Schizosaccharomyces pombe: one gene and its partner. The protein of the gene in region 1 interacts with the protein of each later gene in a pairwise test. Each region holds a gene or a part of one and is shown on either strand. Other genes may lie near its edges.

Evidence for each region.
Region 2: the proteins of hom3 (region 1) and fkh1 interact in a two-hybrid assay, tested with the Schizosaccharomyces pombe proteins (one large-scale study listed by BioGRID).

What each region holds. Positions count from the first base shown.
Region 1 is NC_003423.3:3,706,716-3,713,712, forward strand, and holds hom3 (aspartate kinase), read left to right. Parts: upstream 1-2,530; 5' UTR 2,531-2,556; coding exon 2,557-2,669; intron 2,670-3,040; coding exon 3,041-4,487; 3' UTR 4,488-4,718; downstream 4,719-6,997. Other genes in the region: sac11 (inositol polyphosphate phosphatase), read left to right, coding at 17-1,813; ppp1 (pescadillo-family ribosome biogenesis protein), read right to left, coding at 4,889-6,522, 6,677-6,844, 6,883-6,904. UniProt on the Schizosaccharomyces pombe protein: Phosphorylates aspartate, the first step in the biosynthesis of amino acids that derive from aspartate (the aspartate family of amino acids), including methioinine and threonine, the latter of which is a precursor to isoleucine.
Region 2 is NC_003423.3:630,353-636,188, forward strand, and holds fkh1 (FKBP-type peptidyl-prolyl cis-trans isomerase Fkh1), read right to left. Parts: upstream 2,326-5,836; 5' UTR 2,291-2,325; coding exon 2,264-2,290; intron 2,082-2,263; coding exon 2,044-2,081; intron 1,916-2,043; coding exon 1,896-1,915; intron 1,791-1,895; coding exon 1,577-1,790; intron 1,530-1,576; coding exon 1,490-1,529; 3' UTR 1,345-1,489; downstream 1-1,344. Other genes in the region: C1-5,6,7,8-tetrahydrofolate (THF) synthase, trifunctional enzyme Thf1, read left to right, coding at 1-819; SPOM_SPBC115.03 (gfo/idh/mocA family oxidoreductase), read right to left, coding at 3,992-5,098. UniProt on the Schizosaccharomyces pombe protein: PPIases accelerate the folding of proteins. It catalyzes the cis-trans isomerization of proline imidic peptide bonds in oligopeptides. Has an important role in sexual development and serves as the target for rapamycin action.

The DNA of each region.
Region 1 (6,997 bases):
TTTAGAAAATTTCTTCATGGTTCAGTTTGAAGCAAACGAGAAGCAATTTAAGCTTCGTCGAGAAGATTGTTGTTTAACAATTGACCGAGAAAGTGGTGCAGTTAGTTTTGAGCCGGACGAGTTGAAACCAGTTGCCCGCAGCAAAGAAAATAGTGTCACATTGTTTGGTTCAATCAAGCTGAAAAAAGATAAATATCTTATTTTAGCTACAGAAAAATCTAGTGCAGCCCAAATTTTGGGACATAAAATATATCGTGTTCATAAATTTGAAGTTATTCCCTATCGTAACCTACTAGCTGACGATCAAGATGAATTGGATTTATACAATTTGTTACAAAATCATTTGAAAACAGGACCTTTTTACTTCTCGTACACATGGGACCTTACTAACTCCCTACAACGTTCTTGTACGGATGAGGGAAAGGCCTCACCTATTCTTCGAAGTGATAAACGATTTTTTTGGAACGAGTTTGCTAGTAAAGATTTCATTGATCTTATCGGTGCCCATTCTGAAGTATCACTTTTCATTACGCCAATGATTTACGGCTTCATCACTTCTGCTTCCACTATTGTTAAGGGACGAACAATCACGTTAGCATTAATATCTCGACGCTCTAAACAACGCGCCGGTACTAGATATTTTACCAGAGGTTTAGACGAGAATGGAAACCCCGCCAACTTCAATGAAACTGAGCAGATTACTATCGTTTCAGACGAAAAGTCAGAGGTCACTTATTCACATGTTCAGACCCGCGGTAGTGTTCCTGCTTTTTGGGCAGAGGTTAATAATCTTCGCTATAAACCATTGATGGTTGCAAATTCTGCTTCAATGGCTGCAGCCGCTGCAAAAAAGCATTTCGACGAGCAAATATCCATATACGGTGACCAGGTTGTAGTTAATTTGGTCAACTGTAAAGGACATGAGCTTCCTATTAAACAGTTATATGAAAATGTTATACGTCGTTTGGATAATCCCCATATCCATTATCATTATTTTGACTTTCATAAAGAATGTAGCCATATGAGGTGGGACCGGGTTTCACTCCTTTTAAATGAAATACAACCCGAGTTAGAAGAGCAAGGCTACACTACATTAGACACTCAAAAGTACCGTGTTTTATCTCGTCAGAATGGCGTTGTACGCTCCAACTGCATGGATTGTCTTGATAGAACCAATGTGGTCCAAAGCTGTATAGGTCGCTGGGTGCTTACGAATCAACTTCGTAAATGCGGAATTATAGGTGCTACCCATCCCCTTCGTTCCGTCATTCCTCTTGATAACATTTTTTGCAACATTTGGTCTGATAATGCAGATTACATTAGTCTTTCTTATTCTGGTACAGGAGCTTTGAAAACCGATTTTACTAGAACCGGTATTCGAACTCGAAAAGGCGCTTTTAACGATTTTGTTAACTCTGCTAAACGTTATATTTTAAATAATTTTTATGATGGAGCACGTCAAGATGCTTATGATTTAGTACTTGGACAGTTTAGACCCGATGTTAACTTCCGATATAGATTAGATTTACGTCCTCTTACTATTCGTTGTGTCCCTTATATATTATTGGCATGTTTAATCCTTTTCTTCATGACATTGTTTTCTAGATCTTCTTCTACGATCCTTCCACCTTCAATTCTTTTGATCCTGACATTTTTGGGAATAGTTGCATCTCTTTATTACTGTTTTGCCCACGGACTCCAGTTTATCAACTGGCCTAGGCTACTTCTTCCTTCTTTTTTACGCTCTGATATGACTCCAGAAGGCAGGGTATTTGTAATTAACCGCCAACTCGCTTCGAAGCATAAAGTTTGAATACTGATATTCTTATGTTAAACTATGAGTTTCCTTGTATATACTTATCGTTGATAGTTGTACTCTTGTAACCTTTGGGTACTTGATTTGTCGATGGTAAGGATTTTCATCGGATGAAATATATACGATTATTTATCGTAATAACACATTTATTAAAGCATTATTTTCCTTTGCGTGCTACAGAAGTGAAATCCTTTTGTTTGAGTAATAACAATGTACAAACTTATGCCCGTACACTGAAATTTATTCCTAGACAACATAAAGTGTTACGCGGACAGCTTATGCAGTCATTAAATATATACTGTTTTGGGTTTGTAGCGCTGCAGCAAGTTTAGACTAAGGTTAATAGTAACTTTACAATTCGGGCGATATATAATTTGAAATCATTATTTGTCGACAATAAGCATACGATTCAAATATAGACTTTTGTAAAATAATCTAATGTATTCACATTCATCTTCTATAAAGTATCCTTCAAATCAACAAAACGCCGACAACTCAGCGTTCAAAGTCTTCATATTAACATACTCATTGCAATGCATATCTGATTTAAAATTAAATGGTAAATATAGTGAAGCAACCAAGTATCATGCAAATTCCCAACGCAAAACAAATTAACGCAATTGTAAAAAAAATTGCAAAATAGAAGGTGGCAACGCTATCGAGATTTTCATCTGTGAATTGATCTAAATATCGGAAACGTTGAATTCCACACTTGAGCAGTGCCAACTAAAACATTGACCATGTCAATTGCAAAGAATATAGAAAACGATCCTAGCAAAGGGTGGGTTGTTCAAAAATTCGGTGGAACCAGTGTTGGAAAGTTCCCAATTAAAATTGCTGTTGATGTTGCAAAGTGAGTATTTTGTTTACAGTTTATATGATGGTTCGAGGAGTATGGTCATCGTCTGAATCTAGCAGGTTCAAAAATATTTAAGAAGTCAAGAGAACTTTTTCCTGAATGTGCGTTAGATTGGAGTTTTCATGCTAGAATGCCCGAAATTATTTAAAAATAAGATATTTCATGTGTTGAATTATGCTTGGGAATATTGGCTAATTAGGTTTTTTTGAATCGAATTCAAAATGAGAGAAAGGAGATAAAAGAGGTTTTGGTTACTCTTTCCACTTTCTATCGATATGAGACTTATATATTTAAATGCTTACTCCTCTACAAACTGTCGACCATTTTAGACCGTTAAATTACAAATTACTAAATAATTTATTTAGGGAATACCTAAGTACTAAGCGCGTAGCATTGGTATGCTCTGCTCGCAGCACAGATACCAAAGCAGAAGGCACTACTACTAGACTTATTAGAGCAACAGAAGCAGCATTGCGACCTGCTGTAGGTTCTGTGCATGATTTGGTTCGTATTATTGAAACTGATCATGTTCAAGCTGCTCGTGATTTCATCCAGGATGTTGGCATTCAAGACGAACTTATTGATGCTTTTCATGCAGACTGCGTTGAATTGGAACAGTACCTAAATGCTATTAGAGTTCTTTCCGAGGTTTCTCCTCGTACTCGTGATCTCGTGATTGGCATGGGGGAGCGTTTAAGTTGCCGATTTATGGCGGCAGTTTTGAAAGATCAAGGGATCGATTCTGAGTTTATTGATATGAGTCATATAATTGACGAGCAAAGAGAGTGGAGGAATCTTGATGCATCCTTTTACGCATATCTTGCTTCCCAACTTGCTAGTAAAGTTACCGCTGTTGGAAATAAAGTACCTGTCGTTACTGGCTTTTTTGGTATGGTACCGGGTGGTCTTTTGTCGCAAATTGGCCGTGGTTACACCGATTTTTGCGCTGCTTTATTAGCTGTTGGTCTTAATGCTGACGAACTTCAAATATGGAAGGAAGTTGATGGCATTTTCACAGCTGATCCCCGTAAGGTTCCAACTGCTCGACTTCTTCCTCTCATCACACCTGAAGAAGCTGCTGAACTTACTTATTACGGTAGTGAAGTCATCCATCCCTTCACTATGTCCCAGGTTGTTCACGCTCGTATTCCTATCCGAATTAAAAACGTTGGCAACCCACGTGGAAAGGGAACTGTTATTTTTCCTGATACAATTTCACGTCATGGTAGTGCTACACCTCCTCATCCTCCTAAAATTATGCCCGATGATATTTCTGCTAGCCTCGCTAACAAAGGCGCTACCGCGGTTACTATTAAAGACACCATTATGGTTATTAATATTCAATCGAATCGTAAAATATCTGCTCATGGTTTCTTAGCTTCCATATTTGCCATTCTTGATAAGTACAAATTGGCTGTTGACTTGATTACTACTTCAGAAGTTCACGTCTCAATGGCGCTTTACGAAGAGTCTGATGACGGTAATATGCATGAGGCATTCGTTGAATTGCGTCGATTGGGAACGCTTGATATTCTCCATGGTTTAGCTATTCTATCTCTTGTTGGTAAGCACATGAGAAACACTACCGGTTACGCTGGTCGTATGTTTTGCAAACTTGCTGAAGCCCAAATCAACATTGAGATGATTAGTCAAGGTGCTAGTGAAATCAACATTTCATGCGTTATTGACGAGAAAATGGCTGTAAAGGCTCTTAACGTTATTCATAAAGAATTGCTTGAACCCTTAGCTTTACATGAAGTTCCGTCACAGGCCTCGATGTTGGTTGAAAAGCCTTGGCTTTACAGTGCTTAAACGTACTGTAACCTTGAAAGTCAATTTAAAAAATAAAAAAAAAGTGTTGTCTTGCCTTCATTTTTTTGTTCTTTTTGTCTTTAAATATTTTACATTCTCTATTTTAAAATTACCGTGAGTTTTATTTTACTCATTATTATTATTTGTACGTTTATAAATAAATATTGACTACATAAAATTAATATTTTATAATATATCTCAAAAATTGATATTCATCTTCTTTATCTCCCAGTCGAAAAAATGTTAAGCAAAAGTGTATTTATTATATAAAAACGATCAGCTTCAATTAAATTGAACACGAACCTAATCCATGGATACAGTAAAATACAATGAACTCATTTTAAGAAACAAAAAGTAAATGACCCAAAATAATCTATTACTATGATTACTGTTTATTAAACCTAGTTTTCAACCTTTAATTTTTTCCTCTTTTCAATATCCCTCTTCCGATTGCGAAGCGCATTGTTGTAGTTTTCGTTTTTGCTATTTTCGTTTTTCAACTTACTGTAAAGCTTTCTCTGTTTATTACTCATCATCATTTTGGATAACTCCTTTGCCTCTTTTTCTTCTTTTTCTTCTGCAGTCAAAGTATCACGTTGACGCTTCTTAGTCTTTTTCGCGGACTTAGAATTCTGTTTAACATATTCAGAATAAGCGACACCGCCTGCTTCTGCCTCCAGCTCTCGTTGATGTTCTAAGTCTTCCTCTTCAGCGTCATCAATTTGTTCAACATTTTCAGGCTCGTCATTCTTCTTACTTATGGGCACTGCTTCGCCAGAAATATTATCATCAAGAGCTTCGGAAACATCGTCGTTCTCTTCAGCAGAAAGTTCAGCTTCAGGATCGTAGTCATTTTCACCTACTTTAACAAATGGACTAAGATGAGGAGGGAGCGTAGCGCCACAGGCATACAAGTCTGTCCTTTCCAAGATTCCTTTGTTGATAGAGTCGTATACCCATTGTGGTTGAATATATATCCTACCTTCGTACTTCTGTGAAATATGAGGACGATCACATATATGATGAGTAATCACAGGATCAGATTCTGAAAATGGAGAACCTGATCCGAGAATTGGATCCCATCCAACTTTACCACCAAAGGCACGAATCACAAATTCCAGAGAAAAACGGGGGACTTCACGAGAAAGGAAAAAAGTAAAATTAGAAAACAACGAGGTATTAGATGATGAAATATGTGATACTAGGCTTTTGGAATCCTCATTATCTGCACCATCAGCTGGTTTAAACTCATCTAAGTTTTCCTCCGTTTCAGGTTCCTCATCAGCATCCTCAGTAGTTTTTTCCGACTGCTCAACGACGTTCGCATCACTATTCACAATATCTCTTATTTTACTTTTTAAAGTAGCAATATTCTTACGAGCATTTTTGTTATTACCATGGACGATAGCGGGTAAGGAAGAAGACTCCTCTAACTCATAAGCTGCTAAACCAGCGGCAGATTCGCTTTTAGCAACATCAATCTTAGGGGGATAACGAAGTCCCAAGGTATTATATAACTTGAAATTTACAAACCCCATAAGTGCTTGATAAAATTCCAAAAAAGTGTGCATGATACGAAAATCAACATCGGTAGGAACAGATTGAGCAAATTTGTAGGGAACAATCCAGGTGATTTGCTCACCAAAAATCTCGGCCTGATAATAAATTCCTTTAATAGAGAGGAAAGCTTTACGAAGGGAATTTGACCGAATTACATAGTGTTGAAATTCAGCACATAATCTTTCACAATTAGCGACAGTAGCGGCACCAATCTTGTCGGTAACAGGCATAGTTGAAAATAAGAACAGCATACTAAGAGCATCATCAATATCTTTCAAGGCATCATGGAAGGTTGGGTAACGCTCTTTAATGATATGATCCAAAGAATAAGTGGGTTTTCTGGCCTCTAAACGTTTAGCAGTTTCTAATTCCCCTTTTCCCAATGCTTTGCTAAGCTTGCGAGCGAACACTTTGTACTCGCGAAACTTCTGTACAATAGGCTCATGTAACAAATACTGGATATCCTTAGTATAATCTATTATATTTATTAGTACATAATTTCATTCTTTTAGTTCATCAAAAAAAGACTAGCCCATGATAAAATTGACCATTCGGAAAATGCTTTTTATACCAAACGTCCATGTTCAGATAGCTATGATTCCGGTAAAAATTGATGCTATTAGACTTACAGAAAGTGACTGGAGCAGTGGAGCCTTTATTTGCTTTTTTCTTATTTTTTGGCTCACGAGGATAAACACCCTTTAAAATACAAATACGACGAAAATCAGCAAGAGTGAGCTGAAGCTTCTTAAGCGCTTGATTTCTCGTAATGTAGATACGAGCTGCACCTGCTTTCCCTGTTTTCAATTAGAAAATTTTTTTACAAGCTACATACCTTTCTGTTTTACCCTCGCCATTTCTTCAATTTGATGGCTTTTTGCAGAAAGAGGGTGTTGGAAGAATTTTGCAAAATCCAAAATCCTTCATACAGACTAGCTTAGCTCTCTGCA
Region 2 (5,836 bases), 3.1 Mb from region 1:
TATGTTGTAACTGAGGCAGGATTCGCTTCCGATATCGGAATGGAAAAGTTCTTTAATATCAAGTGTCGTACTTCAGGTTTAAAGCCTGATGCCATTGTTATCGTTGCAACTGTTCAAGCATTGAAGTTACACGGCGGCGGTCCTCCTGTTGGACCTGGTAAACCTATCCCTGAGGTTTATAAGCGCGAAGACGTTGATTTGGTTCGTAAAGGATGCGCTAATCTGGCTAAGCACATTAGTAATGCACGTAAGTACGGTTTACCCGTTGTGGTTGCAATCAATAAGTTTTCTTCCGATTCTCCTAATGAAATTAGTGCCATTCGTGAAGAAGCCCTTGCTGCCGGTGCAACTGATGCTGTAGACTCTAACCACTGGGCCGAAGGTGGTAAAGGAGCTCTAGGTGTTGCACGTGCTTTGATAAATGCTTGCGAGAATGTGGATTCTGAATTCCGCCTCCTTTACGATGTACACGAGCCCATCGAAAAGAAGATTGAAATTATTGCGAAAGAAATGTATGGTGCTGACGGCATTGAATTGAGTCCCTTGGCTAAAGAACGTCTTGAAACGTTTACTAAACAAGGATACAACAACTTACCCATTTGCATTGCCAAAACACAATACAGTTTATCGCACGACCCAGATCTAAAAGGTGCCCCTACTAATTTTACCGTGCCAATTCGTGATATGCGTTTGAGTGCTGGTGCTGGATTCATTTATCCTTTAGCAGCAGCCATATCTACTATTCCTGGATTACCTACCAAGCCAGCCTATTACAATATTGATATCGCAGAAAATGGTGATATTGTTGGGCTGTCTTAATTCGCCAATGCCTGTCTCTATCAACCCCTTTTGCTTTGTTCTGAGAACAAGGCAATGGAAAACAGTTGTTCAACCAATAGTTTTCTTGTTTCTTTCAAATATCTACTATTAAAATTTAAGCTCAGAATGATCGACATATACAACTCTAGCAAGTGCCGTATATGCCTATATTTTCAGGCCCATATTTAGTATTAGCAATGTTAGCATAATTTGCTAGTTCATTGCATGATACTTATCCTTTTTGGAGTAAAAAACGTTAAAAAACTGTTGCTTCTTTGACAATCGTATAGAATTCCTGTTTTAACTTTCATACTGTTCAACCTAATGAAATAAACCGATCATACCATATGATTTTTTTCTTGATGGTTTAGTTGAAAACTGAACGTGTAATTTAACTATTTGAAATACAGTCGGAGAAGTTTGATTCAACTTATGAAAGTGAAATTTTTCAGAAGTAAATATTTCTCTCTTTAGCAGTAATCTATTGATCGTAGGCATCATTATCGCTATACGAAATATATCATAGTGCAAGAAAATATAAGATATTAAAAAAAAAAAGATATATTTCTAAACTGGGAAACGTTATTATACTTAAAACACTAAAAAAATTGTGGAATAAGTAACAACCGCTAGTAAGATGCATGTATCATAAAAAGCGAAACACTAGCATTTAAGCCTTCTTATCATTGATAGCAAGCAACTCAACATCGCTATATAGGTTAAAAATAAATCACGAAAAATGTACATTTGTACTTACAAAAGAAGAGTGCTGTTAGGAGGAATCAATCCAGGGAAACCACGTGGGCCATAGCCATAATCAGGAGTGATAGTAAGCTTAGCTTTCTCACCCAAACTCATTTTGGGTACTCCTTCGTCCCATCCGCGAATTAATTGACCAACGCCAATAGTGCAAACAAATGGGGATCCACGGTCAACAGATGAATCAAACTTTTTACCATTGGTTAAAGTACCTATCCCACGGTTATGTCAGCAATGAAATATTCGTTTTGGAAAGGAGAAAACAACACAATATAAAAATTGATTTGCTAGAATAATTCGTCGTAGATTTCACATACCGGTATAATGCATGGTGATTCTAAATGGTGTTAGTAACTGCATTTAGAATAAAATTGTAAGCAAATTCACTATAGACCCTAAGAAAAGGAGAAGCAAAGCTCCTTTGGTAACAAAGAGTTAAAGTGAAATCACACATTAAATACATACCTGTCACCAGGTTTGGGAAAGTCTTGACCATTTCCGGACTTTTTTAAAGGTTAGAATTTGTATGAAAGGAATAATGTAGAGACAAGGACATCAGGAATGTGACAAATTAAGGAAATGCAAATCAGTGGTGAACCGACTAACACGGATGAATTGTTTACAAACATAACCAGAGAAGATATTTGTAGATTCAAAAGAAATTACCGATTTTTTCAACACTTACAGAAATAACTTGCTTTTCGACACCCATATTTAACAGATTTCAAATAAAATAAGTGGTTGGTTAATGAGCAAACCCGAAAGTAGTAATGGAAGATGTATATGGAATAACTTGCCCAGTTTACCGCATTCTTTCATTCTGTGATGTAAACTCGTTATGCACTTCTCTATCCGGTTTACCGATTAGTAAACTGAAAATTCCTTACTTATCGCTATACCATGTACTCTAGTATTATTCATTCTGCATACTATAACTTCTTAGAGTGGGTTTAACAATATATCAAAATACACCATCTGACTTTATTCTAGTCGCACTTACATTAGTTATTACATTCAAGTAGTATAATAATAATTGCTTTGTCTTATTCGTATAAGAAAACAGCATATTGTAACGAAGCACACACCACAGTTTACTGTTTTCTTAAGTAAATACTGAGCTATGTAGCTGGTTTGAAGCTTGTTTACCACTTTTCGTTGATAATCACTATTCAATAAACAATAAGAACTATAAACCTTTATTGAGAAAATAGAAAAAAGAAGTATTCTTAAAAACAAAGATTAAAATAAGGCGCACCGAATATATTCGAACAGTAAGTTATTTGACACATGTAGCTCTCATAGCAGTATTTAATAATTTGCTTGTAATCGTATCAATCATCCCGAAATTCAAAAGAAATAGGATTGTAAATTACGGACACTCAATAATAAAATTTTTATATAATACGATGGAATAGAATGAGCAGCACAATTGTTTAACTTAAGTACTGAGTAAATATATGGACTCTTAATGTAACAAATGAGGGTAAACGCACAATTTAAAGCATATTTTCTAATTTTATTGAAACGGATTTTGATGAAAGCTAATAAATAACTTTATAAATCTTTTTTAGTTGAACTGGCGATCTAGTGGTTAATGAAAGGCTGGGACATTCAATTAAATTTCAGTTAAACTTATTGTCAGAACGAAAAATAAATTGTTCATCGTAAGAGAGTTATAAGATAGATTTACTTTTATTTCCGAAAACACTTAGTACATGCTGTGAAATTAGCATGGAGGATGAACAGAATGGCAATAACCGAGTACCATAAATCATACTTCTCGTAAAAGTATGGTTTGTTTGATTCAATCTTTATTATACAGTATCCTAATCAAAAAGCTCTCAAATATAGTTTGGGTGTCTGTAAGAAAAGCATATTTCACTTCATATTGTTTTGGTATACCTATATACTAAATAGAAAATCAATGCATTTACCAATTTTTTTAGCTCGACAAGAAGAATCAATAGTCAGAATAGAGTGTTGAAATTGTGAAAACTTCGTTAATACGCAAACAATATCATATGAAACGAGCATTAAAATTTTAATGCTGCTTAAACAGATAATTACAGAATAGCAACAGTGAATCTTTTCACTAGTATGACTTTATTGTCTTTTGTACGTTCAGTCCCAGTGGTCGTCCACTTATTGGAAAGGAGCTTTAAATATGAAAACAATATTCCCTTCATTTGAACATTATATGATTTTGGTAATCCCATTTCAAATTCTTTAAACGGTTTCTAAAACATGCAATTCATTACCATTGATTATGGCTATGAGATGTTATAACGCAATTGTTAAAACCAAATATTCACTATTTTAATTCTAAGATCACTTCTCATTTAGTTTAAAGAAAAACAAGCAAGGATTTTCACACTGAAGGGTTACTTCATTTAATAAAATTGTAAATATTCTTTTACAACTGGATCGAGCTAGAAGATTCAGAACTTTTATATGCAGCCTCCATTATTTTTTCTACTGCCAAAACTTGATCAGATTTGATAGGAAACTCGTTAGCTTTTTTTAAGATTTCCTCAAAAACCGCATCGTAGAAGTCCCGGTAATTTCCCTGAACAGTAGGAACCGTAATTTTAGTTGGTTCAGGCAAAGCTTTCACGTCAGCATCCAAAGGAACAGTCCATAAGTTTCCATAGAGCTCAAATCTATCAGTTCCAAATCCATGATCGTTAGGCTTCATTCCTGAATGTAATTGTGACTCTTGTGGGTCAAACCCAAATTTCATAAAAGAACCACGAGTGCCCTTAATACAGAATCGCATTTCACAGCCGCATGACACATTAGTAGAAGACAGAATTACGTTGATTGGAAGTTTGTTTCCTTTAGCAGGGTAATGAAGAATAATACGAAAATAATCTTCCACCTCCAAAGGAGGAATTTGACGTTGAGCTTCCAGCTTGGCAGTAACAGAGTAAGGCGTGCCAAACAAGGAGACTGCTTGATCAATTAAATGTGAGCCTATCCCGTACACCATTCCGTTCCCGGGTCTAGGTTCATCTTTCCAACTTCCAGATTTTCGACCCAGACGGTATCGATCAAAGTGAGATTCGAATTCAACAACTTGACCAAGTCTTCCGCTTTCTATTATTTTTTTAGCAGTCAGAAAATCACCATCCCACCGACGATTTTGATAAATTGCCAGTAGTAGGCTTTTTGATTCGGCAAGTTCATAGAGCTCTTTGGCTTCCTCATAGGTAGGAGTAAACGGCTTTTCACAAACCACATGCTTACCAGCGTTCAAAGCTTTTTTTACAATTTCAGAATGAACATTGGGAGGTAGGGAAACTACGACCAACTCAATATTGACGTCGGCTAATAATTCATCCAAGTTTGTATAAACCAAAATATTGGGATATGCAGAGCGTGCTTTGGATTGTGTAACTGTTGCCCTACGTTCTAAACATGCATAAATTTCAAATTTTGAAGGTAAAGCTTCAAGGAATGGGAAATGAAAAACAAAAGCTGACACACCAGTTCCAAGCACTGCAGTCTTAATCGGAGGCATAGTTTAACTTAATCAAAGTAATGATTTGTAAGCTGTAGAATACAGAAATTTTTTTAATACGAGAAAATATCGAACCGCTAAAGGAAGAATTTTACTAACGACAGTGTAAGCATATGATCAGATATTAATAATCGGTAATTATAAAATTTTAACCGAATGAAGGGATCCATTTATCAAACATAATCATCATTTAGCTAAACATATGCTAAAATGCATTCATGTGAATACTTGAAAGAAAATGTTTGAAATCAGTCTATTTTACGAACTTTGATTTTAGACATACCAGTTACGCTTTTTTATTATAACAAGAAAGCAGTAAGATTTCAATTAAAAATTCAAGTAATAAAAAACTGATTTTTGCTAATCAATCTGGAAAAGGTTACAGAGTCAAAGTGGATGAAATAAACTAAATTTAAAAGTAGTTTGTTTTCGACAGCTCGATTACCTAACAAAGATCGCTTATTAGCATGTCATTAAAATATTAAACACTATAACGATCATTAGGTTGAGCTTGTTAACCATAGTTATCATAGCTTTTGCTTTGTAATTAATATCATGCCAATATTTCCTCTTATAAAAACGGGAATTTTCGAACAAATAATGTACATACTATGGGATAAACAGTCATCTACTCAAAGATATTTTTATAACATTGAGCTTTAGCGTAGTTGATGCCTAAGATCAAACAAAGTAATGACTTATGGGAATTTTGAGGAAGTAAACATTTGAAGTATCTGT